Macaca fascicularis: one gene and its partners. The main gene of each other region encodes a partner of the protein of the gene in region 5 in a complex. Links are inferred from orthologs where the notes say so. Each region holds a gene or a part of one and is shown on either strand. Other genes may lie near its edges.

Region 1 (3,500 bases), on a different chromosome or scaffold from region 5:
TTGGCTGTTCCCAGTTCCCTAGAATCAGAAAGAAATTGGTTCAGCAAAATTAGCTGGGCATGTTGGTGGGCACCTGTAGTCCCAGTTACTCAGGAGGCTGAGGCAGGAGAACTGCTTGGACCGGACCCATGAGGCAGAGGTTGTAGTGAGCCAAGATCGCTCCACTGCACTCCAGCCTGGGCGACAGAGCAAGACTCCATCTCAACATCTCAAAAAAAAAAAAAAAAGGGGTTCAGCAGCCTGACCCCAAGGCCACAGGCAGGTGGGTGGAGAGGCCCCTGGGCCGGTCAGAGGAGGGAACGCAGTCCAGCCTTAGACTCCTGGGGTAGCCACCTCAGCTGGGCCAAGGCACGTCCCATTCTAGGGGACAACTACAGGTTAGGGGGATGGTCCTCACCCTTCTATCCTCACACACTCAGGAAGACCACCCAGTCGCCTCCAGGAAGCAAGTGTATCATCTCCAATGAACAAAACAGGGGAACCAGCTCATCTTGGCACAAAAGAGTCCAAACAGCATTTCCCAGGATGCAGATGAGTAGGAGGGCACATCGCAGGTGCCGAGCCTCCAAGCCAGTGGGGAGACAGAGGCCACACCTGGGCCACCAGGACCACAGCCATCGGCCATGGCCCCGCCAGAGCCTGGAATGCATTCCCTTCTCTCATCCTCCCACCCACAGGGCCCACCCCCCAGAAACCCTTTCCTCCCACCACCACTGGGAGCCCCACAGCAAGCACCCGGATCAGCGAGGCTGGGCTCCCGGCAAGCCCGCAAGCCCAGACCACCTCCCCTTGGCTGCCTCCTCCCAGAGCTGCACCAGCTCCCTGGGCAAGGTCCTCGCCTCCTCCCTCCTCCACCGCCGCCTCTGTCCCCTGGCCTTGCGCTCTGTCCTCCTGTCCTCATCTTGGTCCAGCTGCTCTGCCTCCCCACGGCACTGCCTCCAGGCCTCACGGGCCTCCTGCCTGTCTCGGCGCCGCCGTCGCATGGCCAGAATGTGGCACTGCCACTCCCGGCTGCGCCTCTGCCTGGCCTCCCGCAGCCACCGCTTCTTCAGCTGGTCCCGCTCACGGGCCCGCACCTGCTTCTCCTTCTGGGGCAGGACGGCTTGGCGGGGCATGGCTGGGAAGCCGCCCACTCGGCAAGGAACAGGCTCCGTGGCGACCTCAGAACACTGGCACTGGGGCCCAGCCAGGGAGAGCATCTTCCCGCTGGGACCTTCGACAGGGCAGCTCATCCCTTGGAGATGTGGGGTGCAGCTGACATGGTGGCTACCCCATTCCTGCTGTTCCCCAGCCTGGGCTGGGGGTACTAGGATCACCCTTGGGCTGATGAGGAGCCCAGGTCTTGGGCAGTTACCAAGTGGGGGTCACAGTCTGGAAAGTGGTGGAACCAGGCAGCGGCCTCGCCTGGGCCACACTCTCAAACACTGGCCCTCCACAAGAGGCACCTTGGCTCTCGAGACAAGGCCACCTCCTCTCTGCTGGGCCCACGCCCGTGGAGAGCAAGTGGGAACCGGCCGTTTTCTGTCCCAGCTTGGAGAGCCAGGGTCAAGGCCAGGCCTCACTTGCCCAGGAAAGAGAAGTGAGGAGACCCACCAGAGGAGCGCGTGGGGTGGGGGCCGCAGCGCAGCTCGGGCTGCTGCCCCTTCCTGGTGCTCTCCTGTCCGCTCCACCTCACACGTCCCTGCGAAACACAGTCCCCAGTGCCCTCCATTCTGATGTGTTCTGAGCCGGAGCCCAGTCAGGGCCTTGGGCTGAGAAAGCTCTGTCCCATACTTTCTGCTCCTTCGTCTCTTCCACCAGCTTCTCTCCTCTGATGGTGGGGAGCATGTCTCCCCCCAGCCCTCCCACCATGCCATCACCCCCATTGCCATACCTGGGTGTAGCCTAGGGATGGTGGCCCGTAGTCACTGAGCAGCTGGCGGTACTGTGAAGACGCCATGCTGGTGGAAGGAGAGTGGACACTCCCAGCTGTGGGGTGGGGAGAGAGAGGCCAGGAGTCAGCTCAGCCAGTTGTACCAAGGCAAGGACTCCAGGTCCTGCAATGGCCCTTGCCCAGGACCCACACCACCAACTGTAGCAGGATAGAGAACCCTGCTCTCCACCTCTAGTCTGACCAGTGTAGAAGACGGATAATGAAATGTAGCTACAAGGCACTCGGCCATCCCCAGCTCTGTAGCAGCTGCTGGTCCTCACAGAGCTCCGTCCTGTCCAACCAGAACCTTCCAAGCAGCAGGGCTGCTCCCAAAGATAAAATTACTGCCACTCCTGGCCTCATCCCTGCCCATCCCCTCTCCCTGTGTCCTGGCCCCAGAGGCTGAGAACCTAGAGGCCACATCATACCACAAGAGCCCACTGCCATGGAGGCTGGTCCAAACCAGCGGAGCTTCCAAGCCTTTTTGTCCTATGCACCGAAATCTCTGCTGTGCTCAATGACGGGGAAGATGGGAAGGCCTTAGAGTATTTGAGACCCAACCCTGGCTGGAGACAGGCATGCTGGACATCAAATTAGGAATCTAGAGAACACCACGGCCTCTGTGTGCCCCAGATAAAGCCCCTCAACCTCTCTGTGCCTGTCTCCCCCTCCCCAAAGAGGGGACCAGACTCTTGGCAGTCTATGTCCCAACGGCTCTGCATTCCAAGAGAGGAGGGTTGAGGCCCCACATATGGGATGCAACATTGGGGCCTGTCCAGGGCTGCAGTCAGTGACCAAGCAGGGCCCAGCCCAGAACGCAGCCTCCTGGATCTGGGAGGGGAGTCTGAGGCTGGGAGCACGCGGCCCCGCAATGGCGTCCCAGTGGCCATTAGCGGGTAAAGGATATCCTGCAGAATGACAAACAGCGGTAACCATGGAGAATTTACCTAGTCCTCCTCGGCAGCTGCCCGCCTGCCGCCCCCAGAGCCACACGGTCTCTCTCTCACACACACAGCGGGCGCTGCAGACTTGGCCTCGGGGATGGACAGCTGGTGCCAGGCTGGCCAAACCCACCAGCTGCTCACTTGGTGTGGGTGAGGGGAGGGGCAGAGGAGGAAGGAAGTTCAGGGCCTCAGGCTGGGGGAGCCGGGAGGAGCCCTGGAGAACCCTGGCTCCAGGCCCCTCTATTTAGAGACATGGACCTGAGGGAGTTGCCCCAGGGCACACAGCATAGCACCTGCCCCTCCATGCAGGGAGCCAGCTACCTCAGCACCTGCCCCTCTGTCCAGGAGCATCCGGGAGCGGGGACAGTCCCGAGTTGTCTCCCTGAGTCTCAGGCCAGCCCTGGATGCCACCACTGCAGCCCAGGGTTATGCTCCAGCTTGGGCTGGACCTGGAAACGTGGACTTGGATCCTGAACTGGGCAGAGCACCATGCCACTCCGAGCCTCAGTTTCCATGCCTCCCACATGGGGATGACGAGACACGTGTGCTACAGGGATGGGCGGCTTGGGATGGGGAAGCACTACGCCCGCGATATCCGGCACGTCCACGGCCACTGCAGGAATTGGGCAGGGCGATGTCCCCCA
Region 2 (3,500 bases), on a different chromosome or scaffold from region 5:
AGCTACTTGTGAGGCTGAGGCACGAGAATCACTTAAACCTGGGAGGCGTTGGTTGCAGTGAGCCGATATTGTGCCACTGCACTCCAGCCTGGGCGACAGAGCGAGACTCCATTTCAGGAAAAAAAAAAAAGAAAAGTGTAGGGCGTTCTGGAATGTTGGCAGTCCAGGTGCAGGGCTGAGATGCAGGCCCTGAGGAAGGGCTGGGAGGGTGCAGCCGGGTAGGGACTGAAACCAGACTCTGGGCACAGGGCTCTGTGCAACGGGGTGGCAGATCAGCTTGCACTTCAGAGTGGGGAAGCTGGACTGGACCCGGGATGATGCCACGGAGCAGGCGGCTGATGTGTGCAAGGGCAGTGGCCAGTCCATGTAGTTGTACTGCCCTCAACACTGCCTCCGTCCCTTCCCTCACTGCTATGCCTAGTCCTGAGCCCACGGGTGGGGCGACAGGGCCCCTGCGGGGACGGCTGAGCATGTGGCTGGAGAGCGGAGCACACGCTGGAGTGTGGGGTCACAGCAGGGAGGGCAGGGCTGCGGCTGGAGGGGGCGCTGAGGCTGGAGTGCGGGGTCATAGCAGGGAGGGCGGGGCTGCGGCTGGAGGAGGGGGCTGAGGCTGGAGGGCGGGGTCACAGCTTGGGGGGCTGGCTGTGGCAGGAGGGTGGGGTCACAGTGGAAGGCGTGGGCACAGTGGAGGGCGGGGCTGCGGAAGGAGGGCAGGCTGGGACCTTACCACGCCGTCCTCCTCGCGCACCACGTACTGCGCCACCTTGAAGGAGCTCAGGTACTCGTTCATGTTCTGTAGCTCCGTGTCGTCTGTAGCGTCCTGGTTCCGGTCCAGCAGCTTGGAGATGGCTGCATCGTCATAGTGGATCACACTGCTGTCCTCCACGTCCTTGTTGTCACCTGGGGAGCAGGCAAGTGCAGTGTGGGGACAAAGACTGCCCTGATCCAGCCCCGGGGACCCGGGAACAGACTCCGAACAATGGCCCTTCCCATCCCCACCAGGGGCTGCAGCTGAGAGGCGTGGTGACCAGACAGAGGAAACCGCGCTGTCACAGCTCCGCTCCCCGTCCACCCGGCAGTCCCAGGACACTCAAATGAGGGTGGGTCGAGGAACCCCTCCTCTGCAGGAACAGCCACCTGGCCGCAGGAGGAGCTGAGACTAGGCTGGGTTGACCCCTACCTGGTGGGGTGCTACCATGCTTCTTCTTTGCACTGGCAGCCAAGTTCCCCCCTTTGGAGGACTGGACATCAGGGATGGGTGTGACCGGCCTCTGGCCCTGAGACATCATGCCTGTCAGACAGAGGAGGAGAGCACTGGTGCAGGAGCACAGACGGCTGCAGGGTTGACGGGCAGACACCACCCTGGGCTGTCCTGGCCAGCAGACACAGGTTGGGGGTGCAGGAGAGAGGCTGTGTGTTGGAGCGGGCAGGGACCCCAGCAAGCCCTGGATGGGTGTCTCAGTGGGACCACCCCAGGCCCCGCCATGCTCCCTCGGAACAGAGGCCCACCCTCCACGTCGTCTTTGAAGAGCTCCTCTGTGCCGAACTTGAGAATGTCATCCAGCTCCTGCTTGGTCATGGACCCCGACTTGGAGCCGAGACCAGGTCGCACCACCAGGTGGGTGAGCATCATCTTGCGCTTGGCCACCTGCGTAATGCGCTCCTCCACTGAGGCCCGAGTCACGAAGCGGTAGATCATCACCTTCTTGTTCTGGCCGATGCGGTGGGCGCGGCTGAAGGCCTGGGGAGACCTGCACCTCAGCACCCGTGGCTCACCCAGGGCTCCAGGCAATGGAAGGGTTCACACCAATGAGCTCAAGAGCATGGAATGGGGTGCATGACTGTGTAGGCAAAGGCATGTGGTGCGTGCACCCCTGCAGCTGGGCTCCCTCCCTGACTGCGGAGCCTCCCACGAGCCTGGGTGCCAGGCTGGGTTTGGAGTGGAAAAACTCCCAGCCAGTGGAAGCAGGCAGGACTGCAGGTGTGCAAGAGTGTGGGAGGGATGACACGGCCAGTGTGCTGAGTGTAACTGAAGCTACACAGAGCTTCATGGGGGCCATGGGGAGGTAGGAGGAGGCTGCATTTCCCTGTGAGCGAACCACTAATGGGACCACAAGACCATGTGCTGGAGGCGCGCAGCCACCTTCTGAGGGCAGCAAGGAGCTGAATCTGCCCAATATCATACAAGGAAGTGCCTCTGTGCGGCCCTGCATGAGGTGACCTGGGTGTGGCCGTGTGTATCTGTGTGCATGGGCGCACACACTCGTGAATGAGAGACATCAATTTGTATGTGTTCCCCTACATTTGTAAGCGTTCGATGTGTGTGTCCCAGTGCCCGAGAGGGGTGGCCAGGGACACGAGGGTGGCTCTATTCCCATAGCCCCTCCCCCCGCAGCCCTTCCATCCTTCCTTATCAGCCCCATCTGCCCCCTGCACTATCTCATCCTCCCCTACTCACCTCCCACAGGCCCCACTCTCTGCTCCCCGCCCCCTCCAAAATGGGTGCCCCTCTGGGTCCCAGGGCTCCCTCTTCCTGCCTCCCTCCTTGGTCCTGAGCATGGGAAAGACCAGATCAGAGGCCCCGACGAACTGCTGTGTGCCCCGGGACACTTCCCCTGCCTTCTCCCTGCCCTCTCCAAGCCTGCTTCCTCCTCTGGACAAGGACGGAGCTGGAGGGATGAGCTTCCACTCACTCCCAGGGCCCGTCTTGGGGCCGAGACTCCATAGGGGACGGAGGCCCACAGCAGCAGGGTAGGTGAGGGGGCCATGGCCAGGAGGGCATGAAGGACAGAACCTGCCTGAGGCCCGGGATGAGAGGCCCCCTGGGAGGGTGACGGGTGGCAGCGGCACAGACCTGGATGTCATTGTGCGGGTTCCAGTCCGAGTCGTAGATGATGACAGTGTCGGCTGTGGCCAGGTTGATGCCCAGGCCGCCTGCCCGGGTTGAAAGGAGGAAGCAGAATTGCTGGGCCCCGGGGGCTGAAAAAGAGAGGCCAGCAGATGGGGGTGTTTGTGGGGGTGTACCTTGGGCGGGGAGACGGGCGTGGCAGAAAGGAGGTGGGGAGAACAGAGGGAAGGAACTGCAGCAACAGGTCCCTGGCAGAGAAGGACAAAGCCGGAGACTCCATCAGAGACAGGTGGCCACAGCTGCACTCAGGGGAGCCAGAGGGGAGGCCTGCCCAAGCCCACTTAGCCCCCAGCGTGCTCTGAGCCCTGGCCCAGTGGGAGGTCACTGGAACGAGGAGGTCAATTTTCAAAGCCCAGATGAGCAAAAAACAAAGTGCAAGCCGCCAGCAAAGTACAAGCAGAGCCCAGAGAGCTCAGTCCTCCATGTCCCCCGAGCTTCCCACCCCTGGCTTCCCTTAGCCCACCGATGCTGCCAGGGCAGCCCGGGAAAACTCAGGGGCACAGCTCCGGGGCCTGGGGTCCCACCCCACTGGGCAACCCTGTCACAGGATGGCAGGTTCTCAGCCTCTCGGGGCCCTGCAGTGACCTGGGAC
Region 3 (4,286 bases), on a different chromosome or scaffold from region 5:
AAGTGGAGATAAAGATAACCCATAGAGGCAAAGGGGACATCCTTCCATGCACATGGAACCCCCAAACTTCTCAAGCAAATAATATGCTGAAATGGCAAACAACAAACTGACTGAGATATAGAGGAAGATTTGGGAAAGGGACAGGAATAGGGTGTGGCAAGTGAAAAAAGTGGGTCATGCTACAGCTCAGGACAGAGTTCACAGCTCCTGCGCAGCTCCCAGTCAACATGAAAGGCAGCCCCAGCCCAAGGGGACAATGGGAGGCCAAGATGTGGAACCCACAATGTCTAGGCAGCACTACTGTTTCTCATGCGCCTCTCAGAAGGACGGGGTCCCCTTACCAGCACCACCACCCTGCCCTCACCTTGGGCAAGGGCATGGAAATCTGCCCCCCTACCCTACACAAGGATGAAACCAAGTTTCTCATCCCAACAGCCAAGACTCCATGACAACACTAACCCCTCTCCTAAATGGCCTCAGGTTGAAGTCAAGACTTCCAACTTAAAAAGTACCAAATGTGAAAGCATCTCTCCCAGACCACCTCAACTTCCGCTGAAGCTAAGAAGAGAGAAGGCAGAACTGAATGATGCTGGATGAGAAACAAAACCAGGATCAGCAGGCTCCAAAATGAGAAGAAAAGTAGAAGCAGAAAGAATGAAGAAATGACACATAGGAAAAAAAATGAACCTAGAAAACACGAAGGTCAAGGAAACAAGTAGATGACTTAGCTAGGGACTCTGAAAAAGGACACAGAAGAGAAAGACATCTGCTTAGGAACATGACATCAACCATCATTTGAGGATAGACAAGGGCTCCCCCAATCAGGCAATGTAGTTATAACCATACGGGTTTGGCCAGTTCATGGAGCCACCCCAAAACACAGATAGAGCAACCCCTAGCACACCTACACAGACGCTTCACACTGCTAGCCTAAACGCCAGGCTACCTCATAGAGGCAGAAGCCAGTAGGAAAAAAGCCAAAATTATGTCCACTCACCAAGAGAAGAGAGATGCCCTCCCTTCTTTTGCCCCTCTTCACTAGGCTATTACATCCTTCCCAAGCCCCCATCACTTCCCCACTCAAAACATTCCAGCAATCTGCCTGGCTAAAAGCACTCCAGATCCTGCTGAGGAGCGCGATTCAAACTTCACACAGCTGAGACAGCACAGAAAACCGGTAACTGATCAGAAGCTAAAAATAATCAGATAGAGTGTAACCAGCACTCCCTCTTTCTTTTCCACAGCGGCAACCACAGGATCCTACTAGCACAGATGCCGGGCTGGTCTTTCAAATAGAATCCTCAATGCCCCCCTCCGCCACCACCACAAGCCTCCAGGGGTCCCAGCTACCTGCATTCCTCCGAGGACCCACACACAAGGTAATGCCTGCCAGCCCAGAGAGCTCCCTCAACTGGGAACTGCAGAGCATTCCTCAAGACAGAGTGCAGCAAGCTGGCATCTCCGTCCGCGGTGCCCAAGAGGCACATGGCTTCCACCCCCCTCACACCAGAGCTCCGCAGAAGGGAACCACTCCCTTCGGATGCCCTCCACCTCCGGCTCTGCACAGAGACAGCCGAGCAACACAGTCCTGCCTCACCAGAGCAGTCACTCGGGAGAGCCCCAGATGCCTCCTTCCCGCCCTGGGCCCTTGGGGAAGATGTTACCTGGGTGGGGTGGGGGCAGGCTGTTGTTCAAAAGTGCATCCATATCCTCCTCCTCACTGCCCGCCGAGCAGGGGGACGGGGAGCCCAGGCCCGACGCCATCCCCTTCCGCTCCCGGCCAGGGAATTGGCCCAGCTGCTCCTGCCGGCGGCCTGGGGCCCTCTACACTGGCCCGAGTCACTGTGCGGGGGAGGGGGGAGAAACAGAGAACAGTCAGTGACGCGCACTGTCCCCCTCCCCCACACCCACCCGCTCTTTCCGCCCCCCACCCCAGCCACCCTAGCAGGGCACCCGAACCGCTCAGGCTGAACTTAGTTCCACACTCCTTGGGGGCAGCCCGGAAGCCGGCTCCCCGGCAGGCGCCCCCACGGAGCGAGGGAGCGACGCCTCCGAGGGCAGGCTGGTGCAAGCGCGGGGAGGGGAGACGCCGGGCTGGACCGAGCGGGGTGTGACGGGGGAGGGGGTCCGAGTGGCAGCGGCACGGGGGGGCCAGGGGAGGCGGCAGGCGGCGAAACGCTCTGGGACACAAGGTCACTTGGGGGTGGGGGGGCGCCTCCCTGCGCCCGGGGAGGGGCCAGTCCCCAGACAGGGCAGCTCTCCAAAGGCTGTCCTCTGGGACAACTCAGGTTCTCCTCAAGAGCTGCGGAGACGAGGGGGCGTGGAGGCTCGGGCGCTGCGGGGGGCCGGAGGCAGGGACGCGGGGGGCTAAAGCGTCCCACCGGGAAGGGGGCCGGGCCACGTGTCCCGGGGGGGCAAGTGATCAAAGGGCGAGGGGGTGGGCGCCGGGCATTGTGGGAGACCAAGCCGAAGGCGGGGGTCGCGGGGAGCAAGACTCCGGCAGGGTTAGGGCGGGTGCTAGGGAGGAGGCCGGGCGCCCTGCAGGCCAGGAAAGGAAGGGTCGGCTCCTCTGGGCAAGGGGCGGTCCGCGGGTCCGGAGACGCCTAAGGAAGGGGCGGCTGACGGGATGACCCTCGGGGCTGGTCGGGCCGTGAGGGGCGTCTCTTTGGGAACCCCGCGCTATCCTCACCCCGGAGCCGCCGCAGGTCGCGCTGGGTCCGGCTCAGTGTCACTCCCGCTCCAGCTCCTCCTCGCCGCGGCCGAAGGGGGGAAAATGGCTCCGGCTCCGGCGTCGCCTCTTAAAGGGCCTGAAACACCGGCCGGGAAATCCCACCGCACAGGCCCCGCCCCCCCACGGACAGCCCATAATAACCTCAACCAACTCCAACCCCCCCTTCCACTACCGCCACCCTCCTCCCCAGGTCTCCCGGGCAACCCCCGCCCCCTCGTCGCTCAGGCAACCACTGGCCACGCCCCCTTCGAGCGCGCGCGCGCGTGTCACCTGGGCAACCGCCCACCTCCTGGCCATCCCATAATACACACGGACACCCCCCCCCCCCAAAAAACACACACACACACACAACACACACACACACCCTGCCCCCCCACATTTCATACACATATGCCAGGGGCTGCTGACATCTCATAATATTGCAGACCTTTTGCAACTAACCCTCTTAGACATCCCATAATAGCCATCCTTTGCCAACTTCTTCACTCTTGGCCCTAATGCTAACATCCCATAATAATTCACCCCTCCCTCCCCATGGCCATCCCATAATAAGCACCCCTCCCAGCACTTATGCCTCATATCCCATAATACTCAGCCCCATCCCCCACAGACATCCCATAATAACCATCCTTCATCCACCCCCAGTTTGACATCCCATAATAGTCTGAAACTCACCCCCCCCATACTACAACAACGGACACTCGGCCTCCTCCCACACACATCCCATAATAATCAGTCTCCCACTTTCTATACTGACATCCCGTAATAACTAACCCCCTAGGGCTGCCCTCAGTCCCTGCAGGCTAGGGTCTAGAGGCTCACGTCACCCCCACCCTTCCCTCTTCTAGCTCCACAGCCTATATAGTAAGTACCCCTCCTCTATCAAAAAGATAACCCGTAATGATCAACAGCCCTACTGTCGCCCCACAGATGGACATCTAATCTCTTTTCCTCTGACACTGGAAAGCTATCCCATAATAATTTTACTCTCCTACCCACATCCTGACATCCCATAATAATTGCAAGGAGCCCGTGGTCAACCAAACATACCGTAATACTCCCAACACAACCCAGTGTCACATCCCATAATGCTTCATCTCCACTCCACCACCCCTATACCCTTTGAGCCAGGCATCCCATAATATTCATATTCTTCCCACCCCCATCTCCAGGCGCTGTCAGTCTATTCTAACACCCAAAGCAGGGAGGGCCAGGCAGGCTACCCACGCTTCCCTGTCCCCGCCCCCACTTGCACACACCTTAATCCCTTTCTGGGCCAAAGCAGTATCCTGGCAAAAAGCCTCCTCATGTCTGGGACCCCAGCTTCCCTCATACCATCATTTCCAGACACTTGGGGGCTAGAAGCCCACCTAGGGCCCCACCTAGTCCCACCAAAATCCAGGTATTTTCCAGATGCTTACCTCCAGCTCCTAAGTTTTGAGGAACACCAACCAACCAAAATACCAAGCTGACAGATGAAACATTTACATGAAGTCTAATTCACCCTACAACATCCCATAATAATTACCAACTCCCATCCAAAGACTATCTCTCA
Region 4 (3,191 bases), about 4.6 Mb from region 5:
AGCCTGCTACAAGGTGCTGGGGTAGTGACAGCAGCAACCGGCCAGCCCCTCCCCTTGACTGTGAGGCCAAGGGCTGGAAGCAGCAGTGCCCGTTCTCTCTGAGGAGTCAGAGACCTTCAGGGCTGATTCAGAGGCTGGGGTGTTGTCAGGGCATTAGGGCGTTTGAGGGAGTGGCTTACGTGAACTGGCATTTCCATGCTGCCAGGCATCACCGCCAATCCAGAGGAAGCGCCCTCCAGGCCCAGGCTGCCCATAGCGCCAAGGGCTGTGGAAGCAGCCAGGCCCTGTGCTGCCCCCTGGTGGCACCACAGGAAGGCCCAGGGCTCTCAGCGCCACGGCTGGGGCGGAGAGGGCCCGGTTCCCACCTGAGGCTGATGGCCCACAGAGGCAAGTCAAACCCTGTTTAGTCACACCCTCCCCACTCCTAGTCTCCTCTTCCCCTTTCTCTGCCTGGCCCACCCAGGCTTAGCTGAAGAACCAGACCCAGAAAGGCTCAGAGCTGAGAGCACAACTCCAAATCATCTTTTATTAATATAAAAAGGGCATATTTAGCAAAAGACACACAGATAAAAGAGTCACTATGGCTCAGGACACAAGGCAGTGAGGTGCCAGGCCTGAGCCCCTGCTGGGGGAGAAGGACGCTCGGGACAAAGTGGGAGAAGGGCTGGGAAGGGCTGAGCGGTGGGGACCACAGAAAGTTCCGGTGGGCAACACTGTTGGCAGGTCATGGGTGGGACTCATGGGGACCTCGCTGCTAACTCTTGTTGTGGGGGGATGTCCTTAGTGCTGCCACCTGGAGAGCCGCTCCTTGGTTCCTGGAGGGGACCCACCAAGGGACACAGGACAGGAAGCCCAGGATGGTTAGTGCAACTCGGGATGAAGGCCAGGGAGAAGCGGGTGCTCTGCAGTGGCCGGGAAAGGTCCAGACGCTGAGGCCGGGGCGCTTCCTGTTACGTGCGGGCGTTCCGCTCTGTCTCTGCCAGGCACTCTCTGACTAGGGCCCGAGCATGGATGATACCTGGTGGTGGGGTGGGGTCTCAGCAACGCTCCACAGCCCCACCCACTGCCCTCCAGAGGAGGACCCCTGCCTCCCCACTCCCTTTCCCCTTTCAGCAAGAGAAATTCCAAACTAATGACGGCTAGATGAGATTAGAGGTTTGGTTAATCCTCAAGGTTGCCCTGTAGAAGTACAAATTCCCAGGCTCTTCCCTGGAAATGGACGCAATTTCAATTCGATTCAAAACACCTCTCTGGGTAGTAATACTGGCCCTCCTCTAGGCTTGGCTCAGGTGGCCTCCGGATGTCTTTCTTTCCCTAATGGAAGATAGTCCAGTGTCGGTTTCCTAAGCAGGGCGGCCTGGCCTCACTTACCTCTCTTCAGGCGCTCCATGGCGCTCTTGCTGCCAGCATATGTGGGCCGGATCTCTTTGCCCATCTCCTCTATGACTGACAGCAGGTCCGTGTAGGTGCTCTGGGAGCCCTGGGCGCCGGGTGGCTTCATCGCCTATGTCAAAAGAGAACAGGGCAGTGAGCTCAGGCACCTGGCGGGGAGGGGGACTCCAGTCCCCATCCATAAGCAAGCCTTTGGCCCCACTCACCTGCACGTAGCCCATGGAAGGCGGTCCAAAGTCGTTAAACAGCGGTCTAAAAGGAGCGGCGGCTCCTGGCACTGAGCCCGACGGCGACGGGACGCTTCCTGCAGCAACAGGCGCGAGTAAGAGGTCAGCGCGGGGCAGGGACGCCGCCTCCCAGCTTTTCCAAGCCCAGGACCGGGTTCGCCCGATTCCCTCCAAAGGATGCTTCATTCCAGGCTGATCAACTTCAGGGACAAATCCCTCCCACTGCGCTCCACCTACAAGCCCTTACGTGACCACGCCCACTTCACAGGCCAGCAAACTGAGGCTCAGCGAGGGTAGGCGGCAAGCCCAGTATTGCAGAACTCAGGCCGTCTTCTCTTCGAGACCTCGACCGCCCGGCAGGCGAGCAGGGGTGGAGCTGGATCCTCACCTGTAGGGACCGGGGTGCCCGGCCCAGGGGTGCTGGAGCCAGGGGTGCTGCTGGGGGCAGGGGCGATGGGTTTGTAGGACATCCCCAACTCCTGGGCGCGGCGGACGCCAGCCGGCCGCTCCTCGGGGGTTGGCTGCCGGGCCGCTCAGCCGCGCTCTGATTGGCAAGCGGGCTGCACGCCCCTGGTAAATAGAGGTCTGGCCGGAAGGGCGAGCGGGCACGAATGCTCCCTCACTCCCGATTGGTGGGCGAAGATGTCACTCGAGCCTCCTTATTGGCCGAGACCTGCCCCAGCAGGTCGCAACCGCCGCCGATTGGCCTCCGCCTTCCGGACCTCGCACCTGTCTGCTCCGGATTGGGCGGTGGCCACCGCCCTCCGCAATTGGCGAGTTCGCGGCCCGGGCCGGCGCGCTTTCAATCCGATTAGTCCCCAGGCCCTAGAGGCGGGGCCTCGGGAACCCGGACCCGGGGCTGGGCCGCCGGTTCGCGCCGAGGGGGTCTTCCCGGGCGCGGGCGCCACCCTCGCGCCTCACTAGCGCTGCTTCAGACGTCTGCTCCGCTCTGCCCAGTTTCGGCCCAGCAGGGGTTGCTGTCGCCGCTGCCGTGGCCGCTGTCACCGCTGCCGTGCGCGCTTCTCTGCTCCGGGGGCCGAAGGACGCAGGGCTTTGACGTCCCGAGCCCCGCGCCCCACCCCGTGCGCTTTTACGTCACTTTTCACCGGTTCAACACCCTCTCCCCGATCTGCGCATGCGCCCGCCCGAGGCCTGCGTTTGTTCCCATGGCAACGGGCCCTTCATCTATGCCGCCGCGCACCGTTCTTCCTGAGGCTTGGCTTGTCCTCAGGTCCAAGGGCGACCTCAAGGACCCCTTTGCCCTCACCCCCAAGGCCCCGCGCCGCTGCCTCAGTTAGTGATAATGGCCGTAGGGCAAACAGGGATTACTTGTGTGCCGGGCACCGGACCAAATTGGTCAAGAGCACAGACTGGAGCCAACCGCCTGGGTTCGAATCTCAGTACCACCCCCACTAGCGATTTCCCCCAGGCAAGTTTCTCACCTCAGTATGCCTCAGTTTCCCCATCCGTAAAATGGGGAAAATGACAATCTCATTGGGTTGTGTGGATTAAATGAATAGTCATAAAGAGCTTCCTGTCCCACTCCGGGGCCCCCATACCTTTCCACTCCAC
Region 5 (4,075 bases):
AGCCCTAACTATCCCTCATTCTCTACTTGGCTAATAATAGTTCCTAGGGTTTTCAAGGACAACACCTCTCAAGCTAGTGCCAACATCTTCCTCCTGAAAGAGCTGCAGCTTGCCCTGAAACCTAGTGGAAGGGGTTAATCTGGCTAGGCGCCAACCAAAGTGGGAGGGGGCAGAAAAGCCTCAGGCCCAGGCTCATTGGTGCATTGTTCCCAACCTCAGGGAGAAGGGGGGGTTGTGCAGTAGGCTCCACCCCTCGCTTGTGTGCTCCGGAAACCCTGTGCTAAGGCAAGGGGGACCACACCCCCAACACCCCTTCTGATTGGACAAGGCCAAGGTCAGCCCCTGCCAGATGGGGCTGGAAACCCTAAAGGGCCAGGGAACTTGGTTAGCCAGGATCCTCTTTAACCCCTTCTCACCCAGAGCAGTCTGAAAAAGGAAAATGATTTAGAAAGGTGGAACAAAAGGAAGGAAAAAGAAAACCAAAGCAGGAAAGGAAAAAGAAGCTAAGAAAATATTTTTTTTTTTAAAAAAGAAAATGAGACCTTAAAGAGGATGAAAATAGAGCAAAATGAAAAGGGAAAGATGTAAAATGGGGGGTGGCAGGTGGGGAAATGGGCAAGGTGAGAAATTAAAAAGTGCAAGAAAACTTCCAGCCATCTTCTAACTTCCAGGTATTCTCACCACCTTGTGATTACAAAATAAGGCTGCTTCTGTTATGCGGGCTTCTCAGTACAATCTCTTCCTCTTCACCTTGACCTTCAGTCACCACCTACTGTCCCAGTGTACCCCAAACTGCCCCCCTTTAGAAAAGCATTCTGTTTCTCTAAACCCCGTCTTCATCCCCTAAATAAACCGTATCGTCTCTCTCCTACTCTCATACACAAACCATATCATGGCTTTCCTTATCACAATCTCTCCACCCTGCTTCCAACCCCAACGTGTAAAAACAGGTCTCCCTCCTCAGGCCAGGCATTTCCCACCCTCAAACTCACACCTCTGCCTTGGGCATGCTACCAGGGGAAATACCTGCAGGGACATGCGCAGGCCTCAGATCATGGGGAGGGGGAAAAGAAAGGGATGAAGATACTCACTGGCATTACTATCAGCCAAGCTGTTGAGGCTACTAGAAATGTCCCTGCGCCGGAAAAGACAGACGACCTTTGCCTCCACATTTCCATTTGCAGTCTAAGGGGAGGAAAAAAACAAAAACAGAAACAAAACAACGTAGCAGTGAAAATTGATCATCTGGGAACAGAAATACACAAAGAGACAAATAACAGTAAGTTTCGGAGGGACCTAAATTAAAAAGCCCAAGAAAATATGAGTAAATACTTACATTCAAGGACAGACTTCCAAATCCCTTTCCTTTGCCCCCAAGAGACAGAATAGTAAAGTTCCTGCTAAGCTCTCAATAGCCTTTCCTGAATACATCCAATTAATGAATGAATGAATATGAATGGGTACTTAGTATAGGGTCCTCTCTTCCACCTGAAGTTAGAAACCTCAGAAGAGACCACTGGGGGAGGGAGGGAGAGGGATTCTGCTCCACTCACCTTGTTGAGTTCCTCAATCCGTCTAACCAGGTAAGGATTGCTGGAGGAGTTCTCAAAATAGACGTAATCTGTAAGGGAAGGGAGGGGCGAGAACCACGAAGATCAGAGGAGATGGGAGAGACGCAGAGCACCACAGTAGGAGAGAAAGTTGGCCTGAGTGGATCAAAAGAAGATAAGGATTCAGGCAGAGAGCGCGCTGAGATGTGAAAGTGTAAAGACTAAGAGAAAATAAGGATGTCCCCCACCCCCACCGCACCTAGTTCTAAAATCAGATCCATTACTCAAAAGTGAGCCTTAAGGAACAGGCAAGAAGCAGGGGTTCCCCTGCAGTCCCCACAACTCAGCAACGAGTTGCACCTCAGTCGCGGCGAAGTAATTGTTCGCTCTAGCGCAGGGCCCCCACCTTTTCGAACTGAGGCGCACAATAACGCCTGGGAAGAGGAAACCTCCGGGCGGCTCCTCCGCGGTGGCAAAGCCGTCGCCCCAGCCCCTCGCGTTCCCTCCCCACCCTGTCAGCTCCTTCGGAACCGGTTTCCGAAGCCCACTCCGTGCCCCGAGGAGCCCCCGACGCAGCCCTGAAAGTGCCGTCGGGGCTGCCCGCAGCTTCTCTCCAGGAGTCTCGGCGCCCTGCCGCGTCGCGGTTTCCCGCACCCTAGCTCCTCGTCTCCCGGTTCCGGTTCCGGTCCGCGCTCCGGTCCATGCCGCCCCATACGCTGCGCCTCGCGCCACCCGGTGCCGAGCCCCTCCGGTCCCGACCCCAACCTCTCCCGCCCCGGACCCTGTACCCCTGCGCCCGGTACTCACCTCCCACCCGGTACATGTTGGCCGCCATGGCCGTTCCCGCCGCCGCCTCCGGCCGCACAAAGGGGTCCGGGAGGCTCGCGGGGGCAGGGCTCGGCTAGAGGCAAAGCCCTGAACGGTGGGCTGGCGCTTCGAGGGAGTCTCACTGGGGCCCGCGCAGCCGTCACCTCCGCTGCCTCAGCCGTCGCGGTTCATCCCGGCCCGCGCTATCGCCGCCGCAGCTATCGCCTCACTCCCGGGACGCTGAGGCTGGCCCCGGTCCGCTCGGCTTCTTCCGGAACGAGCTCGGCTCCTGCCAGGCGAGAGCCAGGCTGCAGCTGCCCCCACCCCCGCCGAGTCCCACTAGTCGTTGGGCTCTGCCGGCCGCAGGGAAGGCTTGCCCGGCCCGCCTCAGGGTTCGCCTCCTTCCGGAACACCTTCGGCCGATCCGGAGAACAAGGCCCACTGCTCGGCTCAGGTCGGAGAGCGAGACCCCGCAGATCGGCTACTTCCGGAAGAAGTTCGGCTCCTGTCGGCCAATCGCTCGGCTATTTCCGTTGCAGCTCGGCACCCCCCCACCCCTTTTTCCGAGGGCGGGAGAGGAGTGGGGCTTAACTCTGTCCTAGCTGGAGCCCTGCAGCTCCTCCTCCCGCCCCGAAGACTCGCGCGCCTTAGCGCTTCGCCAGGTTATTTGCAAGCGGCTTTGCCTGTTATTTGCATAAATGGTCTACGCTCCCTTGCCCTTTCCGCACGCCTCTTTTCCTTCGTCCCCACCCCACAGGGCCCCGGAGGCACCCAGCAGCGCCCCACAAAAGCACCGGGAGGCGACTTTGGTTCTGGTTTATTGCCCCTCAGCAGGCAGCGGGAGTCAAGGCCTAGGTTGGGGCTGCCCGGCTCAACCAGCGGGTCTAAACAGTGTGTGCAGGGGCGCCGTTCGCGCCCTCCAGGGAAATGCACCGTCGGGAATGTTTCGAAGTCAGTCGAGGAAAGAGTCGGCCCCTGGTCGTGGGGGATTAGGGCGGGGCAGAGCGGGGCGGGGCCACGCCGCCAGGCCAGTAGGTCCCGCCGGCAGCGATCAAACGTCGAGGGAGGAGGCGGGGGACAGGGAGGGGGTTCGAGAGGGCGTGGCAGGCGCCGGCCCCGCGCCCCCAGCGCCCAGCACTCGCCACTGGAAGATGCTGGCGTCCTTGCCGCCCAGCGAGACGAGGTGCGAGTCGTCGTGCGTGAACCGGACGCTGGTCACGTGGCTGCCGTGGCCCCCGTACATGCGGCTCGGCGCCTGGGCGGGAGGGAAGAGTTGCAGTGGCGGCGGAGCCCTCGGGCCCACCCGTCCCACCCCGGCGGCCCCCGCGGCCTCACCTTGGCACGAGCGCACGGGTACTGGAATAGATGCACTTTGCAGAAGTCGTCGGCCACCGCCACCACGCGCTCGTTGTGGGAGCGGCACAGGGAGTTGATGTCGGTCCCATCGGAGCCGTCCGGCCACACGCCTAGCACAGTGGCCGGCCTCAGCCCGACCTCCTACCCACCGCCACCCACGGCCCAGAGCTACACCGTTTCAGGCGCTCCGGCAGCCGCAGCCACCCACTGTCGCGTTCCAGGAAAGCCTTCCCGGTCCCGAGGGCCGGAGGGGCCTCCTGGGCTGGATCTTCAGGTTTCTGGACTCTCACCCAATGACACACGCCCAGCGTTCCGAGCCCAAACTGGGCTCCACCTTGTCCCCCACCCCTCCAGCAGGGTTC
Region 6 (3,500 bases), on a different chromosome or scaffold from region 5:
TAATAATTACTATAAATACTCTTCCCAAAGAAACAGCAAATAAGATATCTTTCGAGCTGTAATTATTATCTTTCATCTAGAGTGTATTGTAAGTCTAAAGAAATGATGTCATTAGCCGTTGAAACAAGATTTCATATTGTAGTAATAAACAGACAAAAGACAATCCAAGTACAATTTTTTAATAAAGATAATTACAAAAGATGGAAAAATCAGCTCAGAAAGGCCAATTACTTCTTTAATAGATCAGTTTTTTTGACATAATAACTCACATCAATTTTAAATACTATCACATAAAGCATGGTGGAGAAAAGAAATTTTGCTTCATAATTAGAAAAACTCACAATAAAACTTGCCAAGAAAAACAAAAACGAAAAAGCCATTTGAAAATAAATACAGTCCATGCCAAAGTAGTATAAAATGAAGCCAGAAGTCTTCAAAAAGAAAACATTTTCCTTTCAATATTTTCTTTTTAATGATTTTCTGAAATTGGTGAGACTGTCAAATTCAGGGGTTGCTGAGCTGTTCTGATTTGGTTCTGTTAAAAGAGGCAATGTGAAATATTAACAATGGCACAATCTCGATTTCAATGCACTGACCTACTCTATTGATCAGGTCCTGTAGGCTCATGCTAACAAACACATTAATTGATAATGTCTTAAGTGTTTCTGGATAATTAATGCCTTAATCTTTCTAGTGATTTTATAATCATTCCAAGTTATCCTGTAAAGGCTGGCACAAAATTATGTATGCTCAAACTTTTACATGCTTTCTGACAATAAAATCCTCAACTGTTTTTACTTAAAATTGTTTCTTAAACGTACCTATCTCACAACACTAAAAAAATCATGTACACAGAAATAACACCATGAAAACCATTAAGTGCACATATAAAAGACAATAGCAAAAAAGGATCTCAGATAAATGATGTATAAAAATACAAACTGACTTAGTTTATATTGATAAACCAATAGGTAAGATGGCATATGTTGTCTTATGTACCAATACAAACTAAAATTCAGAGCACCTCATAATGATGTTCTAAGGTTCAGTCTAGTATTTCTGAAGTGTGTACACACACACACCAATAAACATGTTTAGCATTTTTATAGTATGTAAAAAGTACTCAATAAGGAACATCATTTACCCTTTGGTATCTGTTTTTTCACCACTGTTGTCCTTGGATTTATCTTCTTCCTTAACGTCTAAAAATAAAGATTGGGAAAAGATTAAAACCTATTTTGAAATATAAAATGTATATATATTATTTCAAAATATACTTTATTTTTAAAATATAAAAAAGTATCATGCAATCTTATTATTAATGAATTAGGGTCTAAATAAGCTTTGTGTTGGGTGTTTCCTAAACGATGGCAGTACAAGCTATGAACAGTCACTGGATTGGGGTGGGGAGGAAGAGAACAGGTGGCCCTAACTCTAGGTTTTGACCTATAGATTTAAAAAGTGTATTTCATTTTTCTGTAGGCTGAAGAAGTTTAACAACTGCAAGGCCCTATCAGAAGAGCCCCATCACCAAATAGAGGGTTTATTTTTTAAGCACAGAAAAGATAAAGCTTTTAAAAATGACAACACCAAAAAATAGACAAGACGACGACATAGTGAAAATGAAAGAAAAGAAAAAAAGTTAGAAAAATCCTACAGCTAAAGTCAAGTCCTTACCTCAGTCATGGCTTGAATTTTTGGATGTCAATCAGTATACAAATATAGACTGAAGCCATCATTATAATACACTGCGAAGTTAAAATTATAAAATGGTAGATAGAGAACTGTATGTAGCCTATTGAGGAGTGAATTCACAAGGAAAAGAATAGAACTAGATGTGTCAGATGTTACAAATTACGAACTCTCTAGTTAAAAAAAAAAAAAGCCAGCTTATTCACATAACTTCAATTTGATAGATACAGGAAAAATTGGATCAGTACCTCTAAATCAGTTTTTCACATGCTACAGGATAAAAATTAACAGGTTAACTAAAACGTGTGCTCATCACCATTACCTGCATTAGGAAATGCATCAAGCGCTGAGAATACAAGTATTTAAGATATTGTGTTCCCTAGCCATGAGCAGCTCAATCTAGCAGGGAGACAAAATCCTGTGAGGTGCTATAATATGTGTTAAATAAAATGGCAGAGGCATGTGTAAGTGTTCTGGGAAGTCAGATGAAAGGTAACAGATTCAGGTAGCAAATTCAATTGCCTAAAGCTAACACAGCGTTTTAAGGTAAGGCAATGTATCAACGTATTAACTCCTTCCTAACCCACATCCCAAATCCCCTCCTAGCTTTCCTCAGAGCTTTTAATGTTTTCTTCAATTTCTGAACAAAATCTATTATTTGACCTTTTTCAAAATGGCAAAACTAGTCTAAGGGTATGTAACTCTTCTTTGTGTTTTCTCCCATTAAATAAGCTTTAGGTAGTTAAAAATTACCTTAGAAGTTCAGTTCTGACCATGCATTACAAATAGATTCATAATTACTTTGTCCTCTTTCTTACCCAATCTCTATCACAGTACAATGTTTACTATTTTAAACCCACGTTATCAAGAAGATAAAGTTTCCTATATTATTAAAGCAAACAGGAACAATAACATTTATATAAAAGCTTTAAGAGCTAAGCACCACTTACATGTAAGAAAAAAGAGAGTCATCTACCTAGCATACTTCCTCCTTTGATACTTGTGAAACTGACTTTAGGATCTCATAAACATTACAATGTAGCTCAATTTTTAAAATTTACAATTAAAATAACTACCAAGAAACAAATCTGACCTGCTTTTTTGTCCTCTGTTTCTTTCTTATCTTCTTCAATTCTAGCTTTCTTTGCTCCTTTCTTATGATCAGCCACATTTCTTCGACCTCCTTCTCCTTCATCCTCAGAATCTGAGAATTCTTCATCACAAGCTATCCGCTTGTCTGATGCTCGAACTGCACAAAAGATTTTAATAAATTTTGACAAAAAGAGTCATAGGTTTTATAATCATTATAGCATACTCATACAAACGCACCAGCAGTTACCACATTTAAAGGTAAAGGATAACAGATGCCTAATGATTTTAAAATTTGAATGGAATGAATGGTTTACTTAATATTGAAAACTTTGCTTTCAAGTATGAAGAAATGGCTCAAAAACACATAATAAAAATTGGGGGAATTTCTTTTTCTTTTAAAAATGCTGAAACTCTGAAGGAAAAAAGTGTGTTTTTCTAATGGGGATAGGAATAATATCATTACTTAAAAAGTAGCATTTTATTTCAGAGCTGAGAGGTGAAGTAGACCAAAAAAAGTACCAATACCAAATATGTTAGACAGTCTATACCACTACATGTACCATTATGCTACAATCTAACCATCATATTAAGTGTAATGAGAAGTTGCAAAATCAAACAGATGTTTAGTTATTTGGTTCACCCTACTTCAAATAAATGAGATGTCTTATTAATTGCCAAATATACTGAAGTGGCTAGCTTTTGATAACTTTCAATCA
Region 7 (4,052 bases), on a different chromosome or scaffold from region 5:
AGCTGGGACTACAGGCATGTGCCACCACACCTGGCTAATTTTTTTATTTTTTTGAGATCGAGTCTCACCCTGTTGCCCAGGCTAGAGTGCGGTGGCGCAATCTTGGCTCACTGCAACCTCTGCCTCCCAGGTTCAAGTGATTCTCCTGCCTCAGCCTCCTGAGTAGCTGGGATTACAGGTGCGTGCCACTACGCCCAGGTAATTTTTGTATTTTTAGTAGAGACGGGGTTTCACCACGTTGGCCAGGCTGGTCTTGAACTCCTGGCCTCGAGTGATCTCCTGCCTCGGCCTCCCAAAGTACTGGGATTACAGGCGTGAGCCACTGCACCTGGACCCCATGACTTTAATTTCTTTCTCTTTTTTTTTTTTTTGAGACGGAGTCTCCCTCTGTCGCCCAGGATAGAGTGCAGTGGCATGATCTCCACTCACTGCAAGCTCCACCTCCCGCATCCACACCATTCTCCTGCCTCAGCCTCCCAAGTAGCTGGGATTATAGGCGCCCGCCACCACGCTCGGCTAATTTTTTTGTATTTTTAGTAGAGACGGGGTTTCACAAGTTAGCCAGGATGGTCTCGATCTCCTGACTTCGTGATCTGCCCTCCTCAGCCTCCCAAAGTGCTGGGAGTACAGGTGTGAGCCACCGTGCCCAGCCCATGACTTTAATTTCTAAGGTATAAACCTGATGATGTCACTAACCTGCATAAAACTTGAATCATTCACAAGTGCCCTCAATAAAGTCCAACTTCCTTGGGACAGCATGCCCAGCCCTTCATGGTCTGGTCCCTGTTTACATTTTTTTTTTTTTAAGACATAGCCTCACTCCGTTGTCCAAGCTGGAGTGCAGTGGTATGATCTTGGCTCACTGCAACCTCCACCTCCCGGGTTCTAAGGGATTCTCCTGCCTCAGGCTCCAGAGTAGCTGGGATTACAGGTGCGCGACACCATGCCCGGCTAATTTTGTATTTTTAGTAGAGACGGGGTTTCGCCATGTTGGCCAGGCTGGTCTCGAACTCCTGACCTCAGATGATCCACCAGCCTTGGCCTCCCAAAGTGCTGGGATTACAGGTGTGAGCCACCTCACCTGGTCGGTCTCCATTTACTTCAGCAACCACATTATTTGCAACACTTCCCTCGCCCCGGGTCCCCACCTTCTACAATAGGCCCCCAAATCTATGTCTCAGCCATACTGTTACAAATGCCTTTGGCCGGGCGCGGTGGCTCACGCCTGTAATCCCAGCACTTTGGGAGGCCGAGGCGGGCGGATCACAAGGTCAGGAGATCGAGACCACGGTGAAACCCCGTCTCTACTAAAAATACAAAAAATTAGCCGGGCGCGGTTGTGGGCGCCTGTAGTCCCAGCTACTCGGGAGGCTGAGGCAGGAGAATGGCGTGAACCCGGGAGGCGGAGCTTGCAGTGAGCCGAGATCGCGCCACTGCACTCCAGCCTGGGCGACAGAGCGAGACTCCGTCTCAAAAAAAAAAAAAAAAAAAAAAAAAAAAAAAAAAAAAAACAAATGCCTGCTTTTCTTTCTTCCCTTTTTTTTTTTTTTTTGAGACAGAGTCTTGCTCTGTCACCCAGGCTGGAATCCAGTGGCCTGATCTCATCTCACTGCAACCTCCACCTCCCAAGTTCAAGGGATTCTCCTGCCTCAGCCTCCCAAGTAGCTGGAATTACAGGCGCGCGCCACCACGCCCAGCTACTTTTTATATTTTTGTAGAGACAGGGTTTTGCCATGTTGGCCAGGCTGGTCTCGAACTCCTGACCTCAAGTGATCCGCCTGCCCTGGCCTCCCAAAGCGCTCGGATTACAGGCGTGAGCCACCGCGCCCGGTCAAATGCCTGTTTTTCAAAGGTGCTGTCCTCTCTCTTGCCTCTGAAACTTGCTGTTATCTTTGCCTTCCCTTTGCCTGGCTAAGAACTCCTGTTCTTCAGGTCCTGAGACGTCCCCTCCTTCGCTGACTCCTCAGGTGGAGTTCGGTGCCTATTCTCTGTGCTCCTCTAACACTCTGAGCTCTGACACGGAGAGAACTTCGGTCACTGGGACCCGATCATTCCCACCGCCCCAGCCCCTCAACACTTCCTCGAACACAGTAACCTGCTTGAGAGATTAAGTGAGAAGCCTGTTTTAACAGGTTGCATCCTTCTCCTTGCAACCCCTGGCGCCCCACGTCGCAGTAGCAACCGCAGGCCCCGCTCAGAGGCTGGGGGAGGGGAGGCGGGCGACCAGTCGTGCAGGGCTCTTCTCCCAGAAAAGATGAGGAAGAGACGGGGCAGGGAAGAGCTTTGGGTTCTCGGCAAGAAAATGTATCCTTGCAGCCGTCTCCATCAGATTCAGCCTCCCTCCTCGGACGCACCCTCCCCTCTAGGAGTCCCACTCAAACTCTCCACATCAAACTCTCCACATCAGACTTCCTCAGAATCTTCCCACCAAGATTACCTCAGGGTTCCCCCACGCGATCCCCTCGATCTCAGCCTCGATCTCCTTTCCTCACAGCCTCCTCCCTCAGCCTCGACTTCCCCCTCGCAGCCTCCTCTCCGAGCCTCTCCCCAGCGCCTCAGCCTCCCGCAGCCTCCCATCGGCGCTCCAGCCTCAGCCTCCAGGTCCCCGGTTCGGCCCGGCCCGGCCCCGCCCCCGCCGCGAGGACAGTGCTCACCGTCGTAGTAGTAACAGACTTTCCTCCGGGTGCCCTGCGTCTGCGCCATCTTGCTCGCCTCCCGTCCCTACCGTCAGTCGGTCCGTCCGCCCTCCCGCCCGCGGCTCAGCTCAGCGTCCGACCCAGGGGGGAGGGGGCGGGTCTCCGGCCCGCCCCGCCCGTCTCCTCCTGAGCTCACCTATAGCCGCGCAGCCCGGGCACCGCTCCAGCCAATCAGCTTGCGCAGACACGGGCCCGGAACTCGGCAGGGGGCAAGGGCAGCCCGGAGAGGCCGCCGAGGGCCCCCTGGGCCTGTACCAAGGTCTGCGACAGATGGGTGGGGAGCCGCCCGGGGACCGTACCATCAGTCCCGGGGGAGGAAAGCAGCTCCGTAAACTTAACAGTCCCACTTGGTCGTGAAAAGCGTGCTTGGAGATCGGAGGCCAACTTTCTGATTTTACGGAGAATAAACCGAGGCCTACAGGGGAAAAGTGACTTGCACAAGGTCACTCAGCCAATAAAAGGGCTGAACCTGGGTTAGAAAGCGAGTTTGTGATCGCAAAGGAGGGCTACAGAAAAATAATTAAATTAAAAAGAAAAGCAACACGCTGGTTTTGAGAGGAAGAAACTGACAAGAAAGGGAAAGAAAGCTGTTTGTCGAGGGGCTGCTGTGTGCCAAGTACTGTGCGACAGTTTACCAATGTTATTTCAGTTTTTCCTCAAAACACCTCTCGGCCAAGGGCTTTTTACCTCCATTTTACAGGACAGGATAAAGAAGTTCAGATTTCTGTGAATTACTCAAAGTTACACAAAGTAATTAAATTCAATTTTTCAACTGTACAGGGTTTTTTGAATGCCTTCTTTGCACCAGAGGCACTGTAACAAAGTGACAGAACCCAGCCTTTCTGACTCCAAAACCTACCTCCCTGAAGCAGTCACCCAGGATGACTTAAGTAGGAGTCTCTTTAGACAGGAAGAAATGGGATTATCCTATGATAGGAGAGCAGATTTTCCTTTCCTTTCCTTTCCTTTCCTTTCCTTTTTCCTTTCCTTTTTCCTTCCCTTCTCTTCCCCTCCCTTCCCCTCCCCTCCTCTCCCCTCCCCTCCCTTCCCTTCCCTTCCCTGAGGACAGTTCCGCTTTAGTTGCCCTGGCTGGAGTACAATGGTGTGATCTGTGCTGTGTGATCTCGGCTCACCGCAATCTCTGCGTCTGGGTTCAAGCGGTTCTCCTGCCTCAGCCTCCCGAGTAGCTGGCCTTACAGGCATGCGCCACCACGCCCGGCTAACTTTGTATTTTTAGTAGAGACGAGGTTTCTCCATGTTGGTCAAGGTGGTCTCCGACTCCTGAGCTCAGGATCCGCCCGCCTCGGCCTCCCAATGTTACAGGCATGAGCCATGGTGCCTGGCCTAGAAGAGCAG

What was found.
Region 1: MTA2 (region 5) and CDK2AP1 share a complex: the UniProt entries of both Homo sapiens proteins name them as parts of the nucleosome remodeling and deacetylase (NuRD) repressor complex. The link is inferred for Macaca fascicularis from reciprocal best matches to the Homo sapiens genes MTA2 and CDK2AP1.
Region 2: MTA2 (region 5) and CHD5 share a complex: the UniProt entries of both Homo sapiens proteins name them as parts of the nucleosome remodeling and deacetylase (NuRD) repressor complex. The link is inferred for Macaca fascicularis from reciprocal best matches to the Homo sapiens genes MTA2 and CHD5.
Region 3: MTA2 (region 5) and CHD4 share a complex: the UniProt entries of both Homo sapiens proteins name them as parts of the nucleosome remodeling and deacetylase (NuRD) repressor complex. The link is inferred for Macaca fascicularis from reciprocal best matches to the Homo sapiens genes MTA2 and CHD4.
Region 4: MTA2 (region 5) and CDK2AP2 share a complex: the UniProt entries of both Homo sapiens proteins name them as parts of the nucleosome remodeling and deacetylase (NuRD) repressor complex. The link is inferred for Macaca fascicularis from reciprocal best matches to the Homo sapiens genes MTA2 and CDK2AP2.
Region 6: MTA2 (region 5) and HDAC2 share a complex: the UniProt entries of both Homo sapiens proteins name them as parts of the nucleosome remodeling and deacetylase (NuRD) repressor complex. The link is inferred for Macaca fascicularis from reciprocal best matches to the Homo sapiens genes MTA2 and HDAC2.
Region 7: MTA2 (region 5) and HDAC1 share a complex: the UniProt entries of both Homo sapiens proteins name them as parts of the nucleosome remodeling and deacetylase (NuRD) repressor complex. The link is inferred for Macaca fascicularis from reciprocal best matches to the Homo sapiens genes MTA2 and HDAC1.

What each region holds. Positions count from the first base shown.
Region 1 is NC_088385.1:130,396,411-130,399,910, forward strand, and holds part of CDK2AP1 (cyclin-dependent kinase 2-associated protein 1), read right to left. Parts: intron 2,918-3,500; exon of another isoform or gene 2,860-2,917; intron 1,969-2,859; coding exon 1,874-1,968; intron 19-1,873; coding exon 1-18. UniProt on the Homo sapiens protein: Inhibitor of cyclin-dependent kinase CDK2. Also acts as a component of the histone deacetylase NuRD complex which participates in the remodeling of chromatin.
Region 2 is NC_088375.1:228,756,403-228,759,902, reverse strand, and holds part of CHD5 (chromodomain-helicase-DNA-binding protein 5), read right to left. Parts: intron 2,980-3,500; coding exon 2,855-2,979; intron 1,742-2,854; coding exon 1,510-1,741; intron 1,292-1,509; coding exon 1,181-1,291; intron 901-1,180; coding exon 728-900; intron 1-727. UniProt on the Homo sapiens protein: ATP-dependent chromatin-remodeling factor that binds DNA through histones and regulates gene transcription. May specifically recognize and bind trimethylated 'Lys-27' (H3K27me3) and non-methylated 'Lys-4' of histone H3.
Region 3 is NC_088385.1:7,528,353-7,532,638, forward strand, and holds the start of CHD4 (chromodomain-helicase-DNA-binding protein 4), read right to left. Parts: upstream 2,801-4,286; 5' UTR 2,690-2,800; intron 2,076-2,689; exon of another isoform or gene 1,960-2,075; intron 1,843-1,959; 5' UTR 1,765-1,842; coding exon 1,665-1,764; intron 1-1,664. UniProt on the Homo sapiens protein: ATP-dependent chromatin-remodeling factor that binds and distorts nucleosomal DNA. Acts as a component of the histone deacetylase NuRD complex which participates in the remodeling of chromatin.
Region 4 is NC_088388.1:6,866,745-6,869,935, reverse strand, and holds CDK2AP2 (cyclin-dependent kinase 2-associated protein 2), read right to left. Parts: upstream 1,830-3,191; 5' UTR 1,806-1,829; coding exon 1,599-1,805; intron 1,505-1,598; coding exon 1,372-1,504; intron 1,019-1,371; coding exon 951-1,018; 3' UTR 501-950; downstream 1-500. UniProt on the Homo sapiens protein: Acts as a component of the histone deacetylase NuRD complex which participates in the remodeling of chromatin.
Region 5 is NC_088388.1:11,457,067-11,461,141, reverse strand, and holds the start of MTA2 (metastasis-associated protein MTA2), read right to left. Parts: upstream 2,801-4,075; 5' UTR 2,386-2,800; coding exon 2,358-2,385; intron 1,622-2,357; coding exon 1,554-1,621; intron 1,186-1,553; coding exon 1,092-1,185; intron 1-1,091. Other genes in the region: EML3 (echinoderm microtubule-associated protein-like 3), read right to left, coding at 3,409-3,612, 3,693-3,823. UniProt on the Homo sapiens protein: May function as a transcriptional coregulator. Acts as a component of the histone deacetylase NuRD complex which participates in the remodeling of chromatin.
Region 6 is NC_088378.1:17,981,119-17,984,618, forward strand, and holds the end of HDAC2 (histone deacetylase 2), read right to left. Parts: intron 2,942-3,500; coding exon 2,786-2,941; intron 1,203-2,785; coding exon 1,145-1,202; intron 536-1,144; coding exon 505-535; 3' UTR 164-504; downstream 1-163. UniProt on the Homo sapiens protein: Histone deacetylase that catalyzes the deacetylation of lysine residues on the N-terminal part of the core histones (H2A, H2B, H3 and H4).
Region 7 is NC_088375.1:202,730,427-202,734,478, forward strand, and holds the start of HDAC1 (histone deacetylase 1), read right to left. Parts: upstream 2,801-4,052; 5' UTR 2,704-2,800; coding exon 2,655-2,703; intron 2,632-2,654; exon of another isoform or gene 2,438-2,631; intron 1-2,437. UniProt on the Homo sapiens protein: Histone deacetylase that catalyzes the deacetylation of lysine residues on the N-terminal part of the core histones (H2A, H2B, H3 and H4).